2 linked regions of the Astyanax mexicanus genome follow. Each later gene encodes a partner of the first gene's protein in a complex. Links are inferred from orthologs where the notes say so. Each region holds a gene or a part of one and is shown on either strand. Other genes may lie near its edges. The genes, in order: bcl2l1 and tpt1.

Region 1 (9,305 bases):
ACCCTCCTTGTCCCTTCTCAGGCGTGTTCCGATGCTGACGCTTTCATCACGGATCTTAAATCAGGCTGATCTCTGATCTTCATTGATTTCTTCTGCTTGTTATCCAGCATAAGCAAACACAATCAAGGAATGGCGCAACGGCTCACGAGCTGTGGTTAGAGAAGAGCAAGATGAAGAAACGATTAGTGAGGGCTCACAAACACACACGCACACAGTTTCCAGTAACACAAGCTAACACTGCTAAACCCCTCTTACTTAATTGGGTATCTCGCACAAAGCAGCAGATGGTAGCCTCTCCTCACCTGCCTCTGAGGAAGAATAGAGAGAATAGCTCCCCTTTCCCCTTTCCTAAAGCTTCAGGAGAGCAAAGCAAATCTACACTGACCTTGACACAGGTGAATTTGAGCAGCAGGGGGTATGAATAGACAGCGTGGTTTGAATTATGATTTTCTTGTTTGATCCAAGCTGCATAGAGGAGATGAGAGCTTCAGCGGACGAAACTCAAACAATAGAACATAGGACAAATCATCCTCTAAACCTTTTTTTTGCCTATTACTAGGCATATTTGAGTACATTTACGTAATACTTCAAAGCAAAGTTCGGCAAAAACCTTGAATCTCTAGAATGTCAACTATGCTGGAGAAGGAAAGACTCTTCTGTTTCACTTTTATTGGAAGTCAATTTAAAAGATTTCATTTTAATGATTAATTTTGGAGAATTTCTATTGGTCTGTTTAATGGTTCTGATTTGCATGCTTAAAATATGGATTTTTTTACGTTCAGCTTGTCACAATAATTATATTATCAACTTATCATGCAGTACTTTGTCGATTTTGCTGACATAAATATTGTATAGTGAGTATTAAAAGCATTTTATTATATGTATCTGTTTTACTTATTTAAAATATTAACATGTTTAAAATTTTAATTCTACATCTGAGCATTTTAATAACTAAAATTTCACTGCTATTTAAAAAAGGAATGCACAATGACATTGGAATTATATAGGTATTGGCTAATAATTTCTTTGATAATAATATATAATTGCATCATCTGATATGGCAAATATTTCAAACAAATATTTGCTGATGTATTTATTGTATGCTGGAAAAGGATCAGGCGGCACAGGCTTTGCTACTGTAAAATCCATTGAGTTAAGCTCATTTTTAGTTTTTTTTTCTATTTTTTTTTCTGCAATCTCCTGTTCATAGTGGCAGCACTTAGCCTGCTGGACAACACGGAACCCCCATTTTTAGTCATTTTTATTAGTGTTAAAGTTACAGCAGGGTGTGTAGTTTCTCTGAAAGTTATGAATGTGTACATCAACAATGGCAGATATGTACATGTGTAATATCGGATATCAGCATCATTTCAAAATTTCCACATCAGTACATCCCTATTCTAAAAGTATAAATAAATTATTATGCTTTTGTATTATCATTATATTAGTGATATTAATGAAAATAGTAATTAAAAAGATAAAAAGTTAGCACAATTTAATTGGGACAATATCATCCTAATAATATGTTTTTTTTATTATTGTGACAGGCCTTATGTACAGCTTTATAAACTGGTTCTTTATACATGACAATTTAAAAAACAACAAAATATTAAAGTTTAATGGTGCCTTTCTCTGAGATCATAAAAAGACAACTCTTGTAACGACTGTTGTCTTTTAAATAACATAGTCAAGTCAAGGAGCATCGTTTTCTTTTATGTTTAATATTTAAAGCTTTTTACTTAAATATACAAATAAACAGTACACAGCCAAGCTCTCCATTCTGTTTGTTCACTGTGTCTCAGTTGAAAACGATGGCGACACTCTGAGGGTGTAAATCATCACAGAAGACGACACTAGTAAAATATGTGTTCTGATGAAATATGTAGCAGTAAGATTTAGTGATAAACATTCTACATACCCTCAGCCGCGATTCACGGATATAACGTTACAGAATCCTACCAAACAAAGATACGGATTTTGCGTAAAACAATCTGCGTTCAGTTGGGGCACGGGAGGCAAAAACACGTGGTCGCCACACCAACAGAGCAGAGAGATAAAAGCACGAGGCGCTGAATTTAGTCATCTTCACAGAGACAGAACAGATCAGCACATAAACAACTACTGGAAGACACAGCTAATCCAGTATTACCGTAAACGTGGTCACAATAAGAACAACAACAAGAAGGTCTGTTAATAGATATATTTGTAATTAACTAACCTACATGAGGCGTAGATAACAATAGCTTATAATAACGTATTTGCTACAGACTCACTTTTCTAATGTTGAGAATCTGTAGTTAAGCAAGTTGTATACAGTTAGCTAATAGCTAATGTCACAAAGCTGACACAACATCTGTGTCGCTTTTGAAATTTTTATGTACACGAAACTCAGTAGGAATGCGTGCCCGCAAGGCTAGTCCTGCCACCGGAGCAGTTTCGTGTGACACCCAAAGCATCTGGACTATCTTAAAGAAATCTAAAGAACTATGTCCCCACCTAGCTTAGCTTATAGATCCGAGGCAGTCACGGGGAACGCCTGTCGTTTAAAACTCGTGTCTAAGGTCTAAGACTAGTTATAAATTACCCTAAAACACTGCCCAATCAGAACATGTCAACTTTGGACATTGAACATCCGCTCATTCAGAACCAGCTACATAACAGGTAAGCTATATAACAGCTCGAACGTTTAAAGAACATCCTGCTTACCATACAGACATCTATCTGCCCAGTCCTCAGATAGATCTACACACCTAACAGCTCCCGTGGTCCCTGTACAGTACCCGAACTCTGTAATATAAAATATCCTCGTGCTTCAGCTGGTAAATAAATATAACTTACAGCACAAACGTGAAAACGTGAATAGACCAAGCCCCGCCCCCGCGCTTCTACTGGATTGCATAGAAGAGCCTTAGGCCCCGCCCACACGATAATTACGTAACAGGAGGAGCTTTCTAGCACTTCTACAAACCTCTCGAAATTACTGTGATTTTTATTTAACTATAATATATATTTTGTATTCATAAAGGAAACAACGGAAATCTTAAGAATATACCTACATCATCTACTCTTTAAATTGAGGTAGAACATATAATGAAAAAGTCTTAGAATGATTAATAATGGTTTATTTTATTATTACCATTATTATTATTCATTTTAATAACGTACATTTATGAATATCAATTTTCGTGTAAGCGTTTTCGTGTATGCTAAATACCATTATAGCATAGATGAGCTAAATAAATCCACCTCACAATAACGTCAGTGTGTATAGGTGAACGAAATCAATTGACCACCTTAAAAATACAGTAGCCAAGCTTACCTAGTTGGTTAAATAAACTAGAGTTAGCTACGTTATATTCTTTACAGAACAAAAATACTTGATAGCTATGTTAGCTAGTTAACGTTAAGGCTATATATATCCTTTGGCTACCACATAAGCTCAAAGAAAAAGTATTTGAAGGCAGCTGTCATAAAATCCAGAATGAAGCAGCTAAGCTAACCTAGCTAGGTGAACTATAGATGAACCAACTCCATGTTAAACTCTGAGCAAGCTAGCTAGCTAGGTATATAACTGACCTTACTACCCCAAAATGAACAGACTTAACGTTAAAACACCAGTGGTGGCTATTAAGCCTCCTTACATAGAGCTAGCCAGCTAACCTAGGTTAGCTATTACAATTGAATTGTACACTTAGCTAGCGTTAGCTAACTAACCCAACGCTAACCAATTTAAGGTTCAGATAAAAACATAAAAATAAATCCCCTAGCTTGCTACCCTGTTGCATTTCAATGTAGCTCAACCACATTCACAAAATAATGAAGCTAACAGCAATAAACCAGCTGAAGTAGTTACAAGAATCAAGGACGTTTTGAACCTAAGCTGGCTAACCAACTACGTCAATCACAGGCTAACACAACTAGCTAGCTATGTGGCTAACGCTAGCTAACACCAGGAGCTTTAATGGGAACGGGTTGGGCTTTTTTAGTAGATAGCGTTACAAGAACGACGTAATTCTGACTAGCAGAGAAAATATAACGCCAGCTACTGCAGTGAATAATTGCGCCACTGCAGCTCCTGCTGCGACTTACTCAGATAATTAAAAGGGTGAGCTCTCCGGCCCACACATGATCGAAATATCCAGCAGGTCTCCGGTCAGAGAGCGACTGTAAATCCGACATTTCTAGCCTTAGCACAGCAAACCACCACGGCTGAAGCCTCTGGAAGCGGCGCTAGTCCCCACTAGCTCTCCTTGCTCGCCCGCTTCAGAGAGAAGGCAGACAGCGCATGGGTTGCCAGATCCAACAAAAATATCCAGCCCAAAAACCTGCCCTTCAGAAGCTTAAACTAGCTAAACTAACGAACATGTCTGTCACACGTTTAAAGCGAATGACAAAACAATTATGAGTGTACGACGTAGTATTTTGTTTATAAGGGTTTTATTATCAGTATTGCTATTTTTCTTAGTCATTAATACTATTGTAACAAAAGAGTTTTATTTTAGTGTTTAATAGAACAGTTTTATATTCCAGTCAAGAACATTTAATAGTAACATAATAAGTAAAAAAACTGTCTTTTATTAACTCATTTCTGTTCTTGCCCCTCCTGAACTTTCTTCTCTTCTCTTTAACATAATATCTTGTGATTTCTGGTTTCATTGTGATTTCTCTCTCGCTCTCTTTCTCCTTTTTATGCTGTCTTTTATGTCGTTATATTCTCTTTGTTTTTAATGCTGTAATCATTCTAATTTATGTGTTTGGCGGCCGCGGTAATTTTTAAAAGTAGCCCAAAAAAACGCACCCCGCCACCCCTAATTTTTCCCCCGCGACTAGTATTCGATCGCGTGAAAACTTCACACCTGGCAACTCTGGACTGCTAGCTAGCTCCCCTTCACGCATGCGCCGAAGCTCCGCCCCCCCCCCTGTGAATTTTTCACGATACTGCAGATTCTGTAAACTATCGTTAGTGTTCACAGAAGATTGCTGTAATTTGTGTTTTGGTTTACTCCGCTAACGCACTTGTTTCTGCTTGTTAAAGTGGAGTGTGGCTGTCCTCTGACGTCCTAAACATGACAGGCATTTTATTATGCAGATTCTGGTCAGTTGTTGTGTTTTCCGGATGTATTTTTTGTGTCTGTGTCTGAATAAATCAGTTCACGCACATTAAAAACACTGAATACATGTATGTTTTAACATGGTAACCTATGGTAACCCCAAAACGATGTAAACTTGTACTGTGTTCACATCCGTGCTAAACCAGCGCGCCCCCAAGCGGCCTGTCCTGACATTAACACAACTCCATCCACAGATAGCAGATACAACTACTGTATATACAGCTCTAGAAAAAAATGAGAGACCACTTTAGTTTCTGAATCAGTTTCTCTGATTTTGCTATTTATAGATATATATTTGAGTAAAATGTTTTTTTTATTCTATAAACGACAGACAACATTTCTCCCAAATTCCAAATATAAATATTGTCATTTAGAGCATTTATTTGCAGTAAATGCAAAAAGGCTGAAATAACAAAAAAAAATGCAGCGCTTTTAGACTTTAAATAAAGTTTTAAGAGTTCAGAAATCAATATTTGGTGGAATAACCCTGGTTTTTAGTCACACTTTTAATGGATCTTGGCATGTTCTCCTCCACCAGTCTTACACACTGCTTTGGGTAACTTTATGCCACTCCTGGTGCAAAAATTCCAGCAGTTCAGCTTGGTTTGCTGGCTTGTGATCATGCATCTTCCTCCTGATTTTGGTAAAATCAAAGAAATTCATTTTTAATGGTCTCTTCCTTTTTTCAGAGCTTTAAGTGAAGATTAAAATCTGTATATGATTTCAGATCTACAATTCTGATTTTGACTAGTAAATAGTCTGTGTTAAAAAGTTTATTATAGATATTTGTACTTGGAGTTTTAATTGTAAAATTTAATTAAGAATATTGATAAGAGGCTTAAGGTACAATATGACTAGTCAAGAACAAACTCAAGATGTCATCATGATATGTCTAGTCAGATTGTCTTTATAGATCTGCAGATCTGATATTATTACTAGCAAAACATTTCAAAGCTAAATTCTGAAATGAGTTTCTACTAGTAAAAGCTACATTACAGAAAAGTGTACTTTGAGTTTTTACTATTACAATTGATTTACAGCTAAATAAAGACTTGTTGGTTTATTAATAGCAGTGAACAGTGAAATGTACAATCTGTGCAGACCCTTTTTTATTATTTATTGAATAATTCACCAAAAGCTTGGAAGATTACATCCCAATATGTGTAGAGCTTCTTTTATCCTTTATTTTACATGAAAACTTTACACTTTGTATTTCATCATACTGTATATATATATTTATATTTTCCTCACAGCGGAGGGAGGCAAGGTGGACATACAGAGTTGCGAGGGGAGGAATGCTTCCAGAAAATATTTTAAAAGCACTTCATAGAATTAAATACATCCGCATAAAAATGCACCCGGAGCTTTATGTGCTCTAGTAATACAGAGGCTTGATACTGTTAAGAGATTTGAGTACAAACATACACGTCTGCACTGTACAGTATATGTAGTTATTTTTGTATTTTTTCTTTTTCCTTTAGCTTGGTGTTGGTAGGGCAACACTGGCTGGAAGATTATGACACAAGCTAACAAATGAGACTCACTCATTCACACAGTCATCAAATGAGGGGGGAGCAGCTTAGGTGACAGACTTTTATGATGTGGAGAGAAAAAAAAAATCAGGAATGCTTAAAGACCCCAGCCTTTCTGTAACTGTCAATCCAGAGGCCGAGAAAATTGTGTACGCTTCACGCAGGAAAAATTAGTGTGTACTGCTGAGTGAGGGAGGAGGGGTCCTTGAGGGAATGTTAAATGAAACCAACAGAAGTGTTTTGGAGTGCAGCCATGTTACATCACCCCTGTTCCCAGGCCAACACAGGGGCAGCTACGTTTCACTGTAAGAGTGTTGAACTACAGACAGCTTCTGGTTCATAGACATGAACAAATCCAAGAGAATATGAAAGGCTATCACCTTATTCCAGACTCTTCCCGTTATTAATTTAAACATCTGATACTCACAACCCAAGGCTACTTGTTGTTCAGTATTCTGGTGTGTAAATGCGAGGTTGCTGAGCATATGCTTGTAATAAATAATGTATATATTTACCCAGTCATTAAAGCTCCAATAAGAAACTACCTAAATAGCTCAGGCACCCCAAGAACTCTTGCTTTGAATTAGTTTTCTTCATAAATGTCACAGGGCTGTTAAAGCAGGACCAAAAACCGTTCCACCACTTGCCAAGACTCCTGTTTGAGGCTTTAATGATAAGTCTCACTCTTTTATCTGCATAGGCACAGATAAGCAAACCTGCTATAAATTACACGCTTGTAATTGATTGATATGATATTTCAAATCTTGTAGCTCCGTGCATTTGGAAATCACTGTCTGTTTGCTTATTAAAATAAGGACAAAAATAATTCCAACATAAGACAAAAAAAAAACAATACAAACAAAACAAAACACAAATCAACTGACCAACAATCAGGAACAGGATACACAACAGTATTGTTAATAAATTATCATCATCATCATCATCATCATTGTTGTTGTTGCTGTATTGCCCCCCTCCCTTTTAGAATGTATGACTTTAATATGATTGCACTTGAGCCACAATGTCGAAGAGAGGAGAGCCCTGCTGGGTCACACAGTGCTGCTCTCTCTCCCGAGTGGGTGGTAGGGGGGGATTTAAGGGCTGAGGGGAAAAGGTCAGGAGATCCAGACACAGAGTATGACTTTGGGTGAGCAGTGTCAGCATCAGCTCCAAGCCCTCCTGCACGCTTCCTCGCACCGCTGAAGGTCCTCGCACGCTGCAGCTCTCCCGACCCCTCCATTCCATTTTCTGTAAAGACACAGGACCTACTGTGCTCTACGAGGCCGGCGCTCGTGCGGCCGCCATCTCGGGCGCGGCAATGTGGAAGACTGAACCTATGCGGAGAAAGAAGCGGCGCAGGACAGCTCGCAGCTCAGGGATGAGGTCAAACTGCATCATCTCACACAGATGGGGGTAGTAACAGGAGGCGTGCGGCTTAAACTGAGAGAAACAGAGAACAAGAGAGAAAAAGAGGATGTGTTCATGAGGGCTGTAATGACACATGATTAGTAGAAGTCACTGTCTGACTCCCTTAGCTATTATTATCCCATCAAACCATTACGGCTTCCTCTTACTTTGACATCATTCAAGTTCTGTTTATGCAGAGTGTCTGTGTGCTCTACAAAACCTTTTATAGGCCTCTGAGGTTCAGCGCCACTCTGTAGTCAGTAACATTCTGTAATATGGAACTTCCACACTTGACAGATATGATTGCTGTGAGGTAGCCAGTTTTGTAATGCGAGATAAAAAGGTGTTAAAAAAAAGCCCTAACTGGACAGGATTAGTTTCTCAGGGGGTCCTGGGGTAATTTTCTCTTTTATGGGGGGGGTCCTCTGTGATTATTTTCCCATCCGGAATGACCACGTACGTGTTTTTGTCAGACGTGCTCTAAAAAAATTACAGGCTGAATTATCTACTGTTTTTCACGAAACTCTGTGCTTCTTTAGTAATTTTAGTCCCGTCTGGACGCACATCTCTGAGTTTCATCACCTCACATTTAATAAAATAGCTATTTGTCCACTGCTATGCACTGTATTTACACTTTGGGCGTGCAATTCCACAGAGATCCACGTAAACACACCAGAGAAGTGGAAATGGTGGAGATACTGGACTCCCACATTTTGTGGTTGTGAACTGTACTTTCAATTTGTTGACAAAAGTTTTATCACTGAGTAGAAGTGTTAATTTCATTTAATTTAATTTAATATCATTCGATAGGGCTTAAGAAAACAAAAAAGTGCTATAGTACTGATTTTGCAAAACACAGTATTGGTTTTCAACTATTAGTTTACATGTAAAAAATGGCAGTAGTTAATTTAGAGAGCAGTACTCTGTGGTAAGATTGCCATGTTATTACTGCATAAAAGTAAACATTTTTTATTTATTCTGATTTTATAAAAATGTATGCGTTTTTTATACAATGACAGTTTTCATTCAATTGTTATATACTGCTGTATTGATATGACTGAGATATTTAATTGTAAGCCTTACATCATGATTGGTATCTTCTCTCCAAGTTCTTGCCAATTCACAGCTCTAGTGAGTTTGGTGTATAGGAGTGTTAGGAAAACACTGACCAATAAATGCTCAAATGAGAGTACCATTAAAGTAAGGAAAGCTGACAAAAAAATTTATTAAAACTAGTTTGTTGAGCTGATTCTCA
Region 2 (9,476 bases), on another chromosome or scaffold:
TTAGGGGTTTTAGTAAAAGTGCCCTCAGAACAAAACGCCTCGTCATCAGAAAGCACCAGCACCCTGCAGTGCCCCGCTACCTTTCCAGCTTCTGTAGAATAATCTGGAATACATTTATACCCTCCTTTTTTTGATGTCTAGACTACACAATGCTACACACTGAAGCCCACCAGCAGAACAGCTCACTATGAAGCTCTACCACTTTAACTCAACACTTATTCACTGTCTAATAAACACAACAACAATAAAAATACGAAAACTACCATCTACAATAATTTTATATAATATTAAAATTACAATATGAAATCAAAAACTTTAAAATCAAAAACTAAAACACTTAAAAAGCAATGGCCAACAATAAGCACCAGTACATTTAAATTAATTAAAATATTTATAATTATAGAAATAATAGGAATAATAATATAAAAATGAAGGGACAAAATAATTTAGAATATATATATAAATATTAACAATAATGATAGCAGTAATAAAAATAACAGAAATAACAGAAATAATACAAAAAATGAGTGATGGAAAACTAACTTCTACTTCTAATAATACTAATAAAAAATAATATAAAAAAATACTACTACTAGAACTAATAATAATGATAGGTATAGGCAAAGAAATATAAAAAACATTGGAATCTATGACTAATACAACTAATAATAAATAACAATGATAATAACAATAAAAATCGAATAGGGATAAACTTGGAAAAACAAAATCCTAAGCTTAAAAACTTTAAATTTAAATTTAAAAGGTTAAATACTTTGACTAATAATAACAATATAGAAATATTTTAAAAATTGAGGGGGGGGGAAAGTAACTAACAAACCCAACAATTTTAAAACATTGATTACTCCTTTTACTACTACTTTTAATAATAATAATAATAAGAAGAAGAAGAAGAAGAAGAAGAAGAAGGAGAAGAAGAAGAAGGACAGCTATAACTGGTAACAGCTATAACATTTTCTTTTGGTTATTATTTTTTGGGTGAATCACAGTCATTTACTAAAGATAGAAGAGAAATCACTGCTTTTGGCTGGGTGTAAATACAGCAGCTCAGTGTAACGGTAGCTTTTAAAACCACCACTGTTTAACCTCAAGTCTCCAGCACTGCCAGGAACTCAGCTCTGAGTGGTCTGCTGAGGGCACACTGTGAGGGCGCTGTGTGGAAATGCCACAGGGCAGCCACACGCCCTTCACAGAGCTTATATAAAGAGCAGGTCTGGCTTTGTACCAGCCGCTTCCCAGTGGGAAATGAAACAGCTGGCTTTAGTTCTCTGTGTCACAGCCAGGGTAAACCACAGAACCCTCAGGAGAAGCGGGATCACAAGCTAGCAAATCATCCTCTGTTTAAAAAATGTGGGGCATGAATCTGTTTCCCTCCGCTGCTAAAAATTCACTCGCTGGTCTGCTTTGGGGTCTCGGACGAAAGACCCTCTCTGACCGCTGCTGGGCTTACTGGAACAGAATGACTACTGGAAAAAGGCATGGGGCTGCGCAATGAGAACAGTTACCATACTTCAAAGTTAGCTTTATGGCTGGTAATAACCTTTCAACACTGCACTGCACCCCAATTACAAGTGCATACTCTCACTGTCGGAGAAAAACTTTGTAGTTTACAAGAGAAGGAAAAACCTATTTAACGTTCAGCTTTTTAGTCCATGTAGCTTCATCATCAAAGCATAGTTACACCCAGAAGGAAGTGCCACATTGCAGTTATATTGAAAAGATAAAGATAAAAGATCCCAGGAACATTAAATTATTTAAAAAAATGACTGATATGGGTAATATCATATTTATTTAGTCACACATTTAGTAACACAAGACACCGGATATCTCGGCATTATAGAGATGCAGAAGTTTATAATGCTGTCTTGCAATACTCCATCTATTCTATGCATTTCAAATATTCTTACACAGTTCCTGCTAATTTTGCAGTAGAAGTGTTGAGAGTGCATCCAATAGATAGAACATCCCACACATTGTCAATCAGGGATAGGTCTGTCGATGCGGCTAGGCATGGCATAGTATCTTCAAGAGCCTTTGAGGCAGGCTTTTGCCACCCACAGTAAAGTGTATAATTGAGGGAAAAGTAAAGCATATTACTGTATTTCCCATGACTTTTTCATGTCCCAATTTTAAGCTAAGGAACACTACACTGATCTGTATGATATGCATATAAGGTTTGGTGGACTAAAATGGTTGTGATTTTTATTTGTCTGTTCGGATGAACAATTCTAGACAGACTACGCTGCCCACTGTGGGTGGTAATGCCTTTTATGTACATTATACACGCCTACAAAACTATTCTAATGAATTTACAATGCCTTGCCACAACCACGCTGACCAGTGGACAGCCTCATCTCATGATATTTGGCATGTCAATTCTTTTTGTGGTTTCTGTCTAGTTAACATTTACAACATCGTATAAAATGACCTTTTATTGTGACTAAAAGCAGCATCAACCATTTAAAATAATTTTTTAAAAAGCTATATTAGATATGTAAGACAGGGTAAACCAGTTTTATGCAGGATTTAATTTGTGATATTAATACATTATAGTATTAATCAACTACAGACTTTTTGTAGGGCACAATTTGTTGGGTCACTATGCTAAAAAAGTACATTAACATGTAACTTCGAGGCTTAAGAAAGAAAAGCAGAACTAAACAGAGGCTATAAGACTAAATTAACTCTAAAAAGGCAGTTAGCTACAATTATTATTATTATTATTATTATTATTATTATTATTATTATTATTATTATTATTATTATTACTAATCACTGATGCTAAACCTGATCTCAGTTACTGCTGTTTTCCACTTTTGACAATCAATGAAAATATTTGCAATGAATTAACCAACATAAAAATGCTCCAATTTGTCTTATGGAATGAAATACACAATTTTACCTTCCATTGAAAGTTTTAAAAGTTTTGGCTTATCCTGTAAAAAGTTGCTGTTTTGGAGATAGGACATGCATACTCCAGTTAAACGTGTTACAGTTACAATGGTGTAAAAATGGTGTTAGATTTGTATCATAATACTCACCTTTCAAGAAAGTTTTCATAAAAGGACTTCATCTCAGCTGGTGCAAATTTGCAGTGAAGCTGGTCAACACGCACACCCACAGACACACACTCACAGACACATACTCACACACACACTGAAGGCTTAAGCTCTGTGAGAGGAACAAATATCCTCCCACTTGAAGGAAGCAAGTGGGGCCAGTCCATTCGTGACCAGCCTACTAAATACTGATCTCACACTGCTGCTCCTCTACCACCAACATACTGAGGAGAAAGAGCATGGGGACACCTACTGGTGGTTCATCTGACTGTCTGAAGACTACCGTACTGGGATTTTTATACTTTTTCTGTGAATCACAGTGGTTTACTGTAGATAGAAGATAAATCACTGCTTTTGGCTGGGTATAAATACAGCAGCTCAGTGTCTTAAGGACAGTAGCAAAAGCAGCAAAAGATGTGTGTTTATCGAAAATGTGTTTTGATGTTTTTCACAAAAAATGAGCCAATGCCAATGAGTTTGAGTTAGAAAAAAAATGTTTTGTATCATTTGATGAAAAATGAAAACGGGTCCCACAGACCCGAACACCACACAAAGGTTAAACATCACTAAGTGCAATGCAAAGCATCAGTCCCTGGATTCTAGAGCAGTGGCCCTTTCCTGTTTTAACATGATTGTACACCAGGTCACTAATGTTCACATTACCAGGTCGAAGTGACTCAAATATTTTTTTTCAATCAGATTTGAGTCACTTTCATATGTGGTCCTAAATCAGATATGTATCCGATCCATGGACGTGCAACATGAATGTGAACAGTCAAATCAGAATTTCTGCATGCGCTACATGCTTCTCTCTCGTACCCACACACCTCTTGGTGCAGCTGTGCAGCTATAGCTGCAAAAACAGCAAAAGCAAACCGCCTGGTCTTTTTGCACCTCCTCGACCTGAGCATGAACTTCAGACCAGCTGTTTACTCTCCACTTCAGCAAAAGATGCTCTACATATGAGCTGCTAACTCATCCATTTCACCTTTATAAAGTTACGAGTCTCACAAGTATGATGTTTTTTGTTTTGTTGGTGAAGCAGGAGACGTTTATACATGTATCAGTGTGCACATGTGAGGCGTTTCAGGGACAGATTCGTTCACATTACACACAGATACAGTCCACTTACATTTGTGAATATAAACCCTCACGATAGCCAAATCCGATCTGAACAAAAAAACGGATGTGAGCAATGTGGCTTGTAATGTGAACGGAGCCTAAGAAAGGATCACAGAGAGATGGGTGAGCAAGTTTGGTGTGGAAGAACTTCACTGGCCTCAACCAGTTTCGGATGAATTAGTTTGAAGACTGCGAGCCAAACCTTCTCCTCCAACATAGTTTATGTGGGCCTAATTAATAAGCACATTGGCAAGCAATGTGAAGTGAAGACGTTCAAGGGAGCAGTCAGCATTTCATTGACCAATGTTATTACCATACAAATTAATTGATTCATATGTATATATATTAAATATAAATATAAATGTAACCTAGCCTGTCTGGTACTTTGACATGTTAGACATTTCTAACAACTTTTATCTTACAAAAAATGCTTAATTGCTAATAATACTTGTTTTGATTCCTAGACATTTGATCTCAGGACAGTATCCAAAAAGTACCTCCGATAGAAAGGTTCAATTTTAACCTTAAAATTCAACCTTAAAAATAACTTTTGTGGTAAATTCCTCTCTAAATTTTAAAAGTGGCTTCTTTAGAAAGTCTAACTGAGCATGTGCACAGTGAGTGTAAATACTCTAGCTTGTTTCTAAACGGAGAAAATCAAGGTGTCACATCTGTCCCTGGTCTATCCTACCACACAGTGTAGAAATGTTGCTTTAATTCACAGTATTACAGTATTTATTTATTAATCAGAGGAGAGTTTGTACTCGAGTGCACAGACTGTACTGTGCTGTACTGAGAGGGCGAGGGCGCTGATTGGCCGCGGGCCGCTTGAGGTCGCTCGTGCGCTTTACAAAAAGGAGCTGAGCGCGCATTGACGTCATCTGTTCTGGCAGTGTCTAGAGCTGATCTCGGTCTCTCGGCCTTTCCAGCTGAGTCCGCCGCCAGCGCAGCGCCTGCTCCGAGCCCTCCAACACAATCCATCAAAATGATCATCTACAAGGACATCATCACCGGTGAGAAAGCGCTTATACAGAGTGTAAAGGCTTTAAACTCGTGGATTTGGAGGGTATTTTTGGGTGTCCGGCTCGTTTTTGTGGCTTTTTTGTAGGTTTTTGTGGCGCTGGCGAAAAGAGGCCTAAGTTTTTAGCGCCAGGTTAGCGCAGTGCGGCTAACAGAAGTTAGCTGGAGTTGTGTTTTATTGTATATAGTGTCGTTTTAGTGGGGATTTAATGTGGGGTTTATGTGTTTAAGGCTTTAAAACGGGTTTAGTGGTTGGTATTTTGGTGTTAGGAGTGAGAAATGGGTGAAAAATTGGTTATTTGAGTAAAACGCCGGTTTGTTAACGTTAGCTAGTTAGCCTAGCTAAATTTCAGCTAGCTACCACACCGGCAGATTTTCACCATGTAAAAGTTAAGCAGGCTAACTAGCTAGCTAGTTTAACTTGTGTGGCGCCAATTAGCGAGATGCCACGTACACATTTGTTTTTAAATACCTTTTAACAGTCTGAATCTCTTATTTTCTGCTTTTTCAGTCCATTTAAACTGTGTAATAAATCAGCATATGCTAGCTAGCTATTTAACTAACTCATGAGCTCAGGCCGGCCTGTGCCTGTTGTTAAGGCGGTCTGCTGCTGCTTTTGTCCAGGCCTGAGATCTTTAAAAAGTCAGCTGACCCGAAATGCAGCACCGCCTCAGCCACTGCGCTTCGGGATTCACCAGAGTAATACATATTTAAAGAGAATGTCCTCGAAATCAACTCGTTTTTAATCCCATCTTTACTAAATGTATGTGTACGTTGTTTCACAGGAGACGAGATGTTCTCGGACATCTACAAAATCAAAGAGTCTGAGAATGGAATGATGATCGAAGTCGAGGGAAAGGTAAGACACCTCTATTAGCCTGTGTATTTGATTTATATAAAATTTAAAGAGGAAAATAAAGATATTTATGTACTTAATAGGTAGTTAAGGAACTGTTGGCTGCTTGGTTTTTGGGTTTCTTTGTGAGACGTTGCGCAATCCTATGACTAATTTGTGGTATCCGCCCTCCCTCCCCCTCTCTTTCCCTCCTCCACCCACAGTACACCGGTATGAGTCCGTTACACGCTGTCCAAAAGTTTCTAAGCTTCCTGATGCTAGATTTATTTTCGTTCTACAGTCAATACTTAGACACACACTAACATGGATTTCTAGACTGATGTTGAATGGATTCTGTACAACATATTTTCTGATTGGTCAAGCGATCCAATGTAAAGTTTGTATCCAAAACTTTAGTTTCATGTCTTCTATATATATTTAGATATACACTAATACACCCATTTTTGCAATTTTGAATAGATATTTCTTTGTTAAACTTTAAAGCTTAAAATAATTTTTTAAAATAGCATATCCAGTGTTTTTCATCATATAATATATATATATGCCAGCTAGTATCGATTTAAAATGTTGACCACGTCGGCCAATACCAGTATAATTCCAATCAAAACGCATACCGACCTCATAGTTGAGTACCTGTTTTTTTTTTTGCTTCTGTGAGAAACCTTGAACAACCTTATGGCTGATTTCTTTCCCCCCACCCACAGTACACCAGTATGAGCTCATTACTTTTTGTACCTGATCAGATTCTGAAGCTCCTTCTGAAGTAGTTGCTATATATTTAGATATATGCTAATGTAGATTAGTTTTGTTTTAAAGTGTATCGTTTCTCAAGTCTTTAGAAAGTATACAAAGGTGGAGGACATCTACCAGGCGGTTGTAGAGATGTGACCTAGGGAATGCGATGAATGTTCGTCCCAAGAAGTCCATTCCTGAAAGGGGCCTGGCACAAACAAACTAATATGCTGTGTACTTATTTGATTTTTTTTTTTAATCATATTAAATTATAGTTGTAGTGGCTTTTCACTACGTTTTTAAAGCAGGAACTGGAAAGACCGTTGTAAGATTTGAGAGATGGTGATTTATAATAATTTGGGGCAGAACAGTATATTGTGATTTTTGTCTGTTAAATTCAAAGTGAATGCTGGGTATTTCTGTTCGATTTTCTCTGTAAATTGGACTGTTCTCAGTTTCCGAATCTGTGAACTTCAGTGGTTTTCTTTAAATATGTTCAGTATTTTTTTGCAGTTAGGGTAGCACAGGATGTCTGGCAAGAATGTGAGGATGCTAAATTGCACAAGAATGCATATTGAGAAACAGCCTAGGTGTGAGGTTTCATTAAACATCCTAATTGTTCAGACGCTTACTCTAATGCTTTTAGCTACTTTCAAGTTTCTCACATTGCTGACAGATGTGGGAATGTGCACACACAGCTTGTCTGTATAGAAGTATTTCCAATAGGACGGGACTCTGGCACTGTGCCTAATTCCAGGCATGAGCTAGAGGGGTAGAACCCCCACAGCATTGAGCTTTGGCACAGCAAATCTGATCTCTGGAGTGATTGATGGTGCTTTTATACAACACTTTTGGATGAGTCCAGTTTGGGTGGGGTGGTGATTAACATCCTGATCAACAATGCAGTCAGTCAAACACACAATGAAAACTTTAGTGTATATTACATTGCATTTATATGGTCTGTACTATTTAAGTTAGAAGTATAGTAAAAAGTAAACTCTTGTTCAAGCTCTGAAACAAGCTCTGCCCAGTCATTTGTCTTGTGTTGCCAATATGCTGTTTATGGGGTTACTGCAGGAGTGTGATGTTCTAGACATTGTAATTAGTGCATTCAGCTACTTTTAAGTTCCACCTATTGCTGACAAGGATGTAGAAATGTGCATTCTGCTTGTCTAGTCCCTGTAGAGAGGTATTGCCAGTAGAACAGGACTCTGAAGGATGTGAGCTAAAATCCATTGGGACAATGCCTAATGCCAGGTGTGAGCTGGGTGGGGATATATAGTCCCCTGATCCAATTTTAGACTTGCAGTACTAAATTACTGCTTTGTACTACATGTTTCACAGCCAACTTCAGTTTACATTTTCTCATTGGTTGAGAATTGAGCGTGGAGAGTGTAGAGTTGTTGGATCTTAGCCTGCAGCTACACTGATAAGTTAATGAATATCATTCTCAACAAGCCTGAGCATACCTGATTCCACGTGCTGTAATTAGTTGGACTTTTAAGGACTCCTCAGTCAGTTGATCTTGTGACTTGGGGGGCTTCCTGCCGCCTTGCTTGTATTACTTTCAATGCTCTTAACACATCAGCTTATCAACAAGCCTTTTCAGGAGTGCAGGGGTGTGTTAAAGCAGAGAATATTTTGAAAATGTCAAGGACAGGGAGGGATTGAGCAACACTAGTCTGACTGAAGCCCTTTTAGAACGATTTCTGAAAACTTGCTGGTATTTGGCCTCCAGGACCAGGGCTGATAAATGTTGCATTGGACAAGCCCATAGGCATGCCTATTAATGCTGCTTTGCTACAGTAATACCCCCACCACACAACTCTTGTTGTGAAGGCTTTATGCCAGATATATTGCTGGGAAGGAAGATTTGATTTCATAATCTTCACATACCACATTTTGAGTACCTCTGGTCTAGAGGAATGCAAAGACCTGGTATGCGAGACCACGCCCCAAGTCTTCACTTTTTATAATTACAGCAATAATGAGTTATTCTTACTATAGTAACTCCCAATAGTGTTTTGGTTAAAATTAATTACTGAATAATTGTCTAAGAGGTGCAAGGGGACACCGTCTAGGTGCATCGTAGTTCATTAAATCTGTTTGTGCTTCTGTTGTTAAATTTTCAAAGATGTCAGAGTCTACTGTTTTCTAGAAAAGGGTTAGTTTGCAGATCACAAAAGCGGGCAATGCTGACGCAATAGGTCAATAGGGGGTAAGTTGAGGTTTTATTTAATAATGGGTGGTACAGCTCTGGAAAAAGAGACTTAATATATTTTTTCTTAATTTTATCAAATTGAAAACTTCAAATATAATCAGGGGGAAGATGAATGATGACACACCGTCAGTGTTAATTTTTCTGAAACATATACCGTATTTTTCGGACTATAAGGCGCACTTAAAAACTTTTAATTTTCACAAAAATTGACAGTGCGTCTTATAATACGGTGCGCCTTTTGTATGGATTTTACTCGTCAGGTTGTAAGGAGCAGTAAACACACACTCCGTGCAGCGTTATAGAGAGTTTCAGTGCTATACAGAGTCCAGAGCCGTGCAGCTCCGAGGCTGGAGCAGCAAATAGCATTAGCTAGCTTATTCACTGTTCAGAGATCAGTATTATCTAAATTTTACCCGTCAGGTGTAAGGAGCAGTAAACACACACTCCG

The links.
Region 2: the proteins of bcl2l1 (region 1) and tpt1 are in contact, whole or in part, in a crystal structure (PDB 4Z9V), measured with the Homo sapiens proteins. The link is inferred for Astyanax mexicanus from reciprocal best matches to the Homo sapiens genes BCL2L1 and TPT1. Residues at the interface, in NP_001304848.1 of Homo sapiens: Ala93, Glu96, Phe97, Arg100, Tyr101, Ala104, Phe105, Leu108, Gln111, Ser122, Gln125, Val126, Glu129, Leu130, Asp133, Asn136, Gly138, Arg139, Val141, Ala142, Phe146, Leu194, Tyr195, Ala199, Ala200, Ser203; in NP_003286.1 of Homo sapiens: Phe14, Asp16, Ile17, Lys19, Ile20, Arg21, Ile23, Ala24, Asp25, Gly26, Leu27, Cys28, Leu29.

What each region holds. Positions count from the first base shown.
Region 1 is NC_064420.1:34,067,543-34,076,847, forward strand, and holds the start of bcl2l1 (bcl-2-like protein 1), read right to left. Parts: upstream 4,275-9,305; 5' UTR 4,090-4,274; intron 2,859-4,089; exon of another isoform or gene 2,707-2,858; intron 2,096-2,706; exon of another isoform or gene 1,919-2,095; intron 150-1,918; 5' UTR 1-149. Other genes in the region: arfgef2 (brefeldin A-inhibited guanine nucleotide-exchange protein 2), read right to left, coding at 7,919-8,083. UniProt on the Homo sapiens protein: Potent inhibitor of cell death. Inhibits activation of caspases. Appears to regulate cell death by blocking the voltage-dependent anion channel (VDAC) by binding to it and preventing the release of the caspase activator, CYC1, from the mitochondrial membrane.
Region 2 is NC_064428.1:30,641,774-30,651,249, reverse strand, and holds the start of tpt1 (translationally-controlled tumor protein homolog), read left to right. Parts: upstream 1-5,070; 5' UTR 5,071-5,184; coding exon 5,185-5,212; intron 5,213-6,004; coding exon 6,005-6,078; intron 6,079-9,476. UniProt on the Homo sapiens protein: Involved in calcium binding and microtubule stabilization. Acts as a negative regulator of TSC22D1-mediated apoptosis, via interaction with and destabilization of TSC22D1 protein.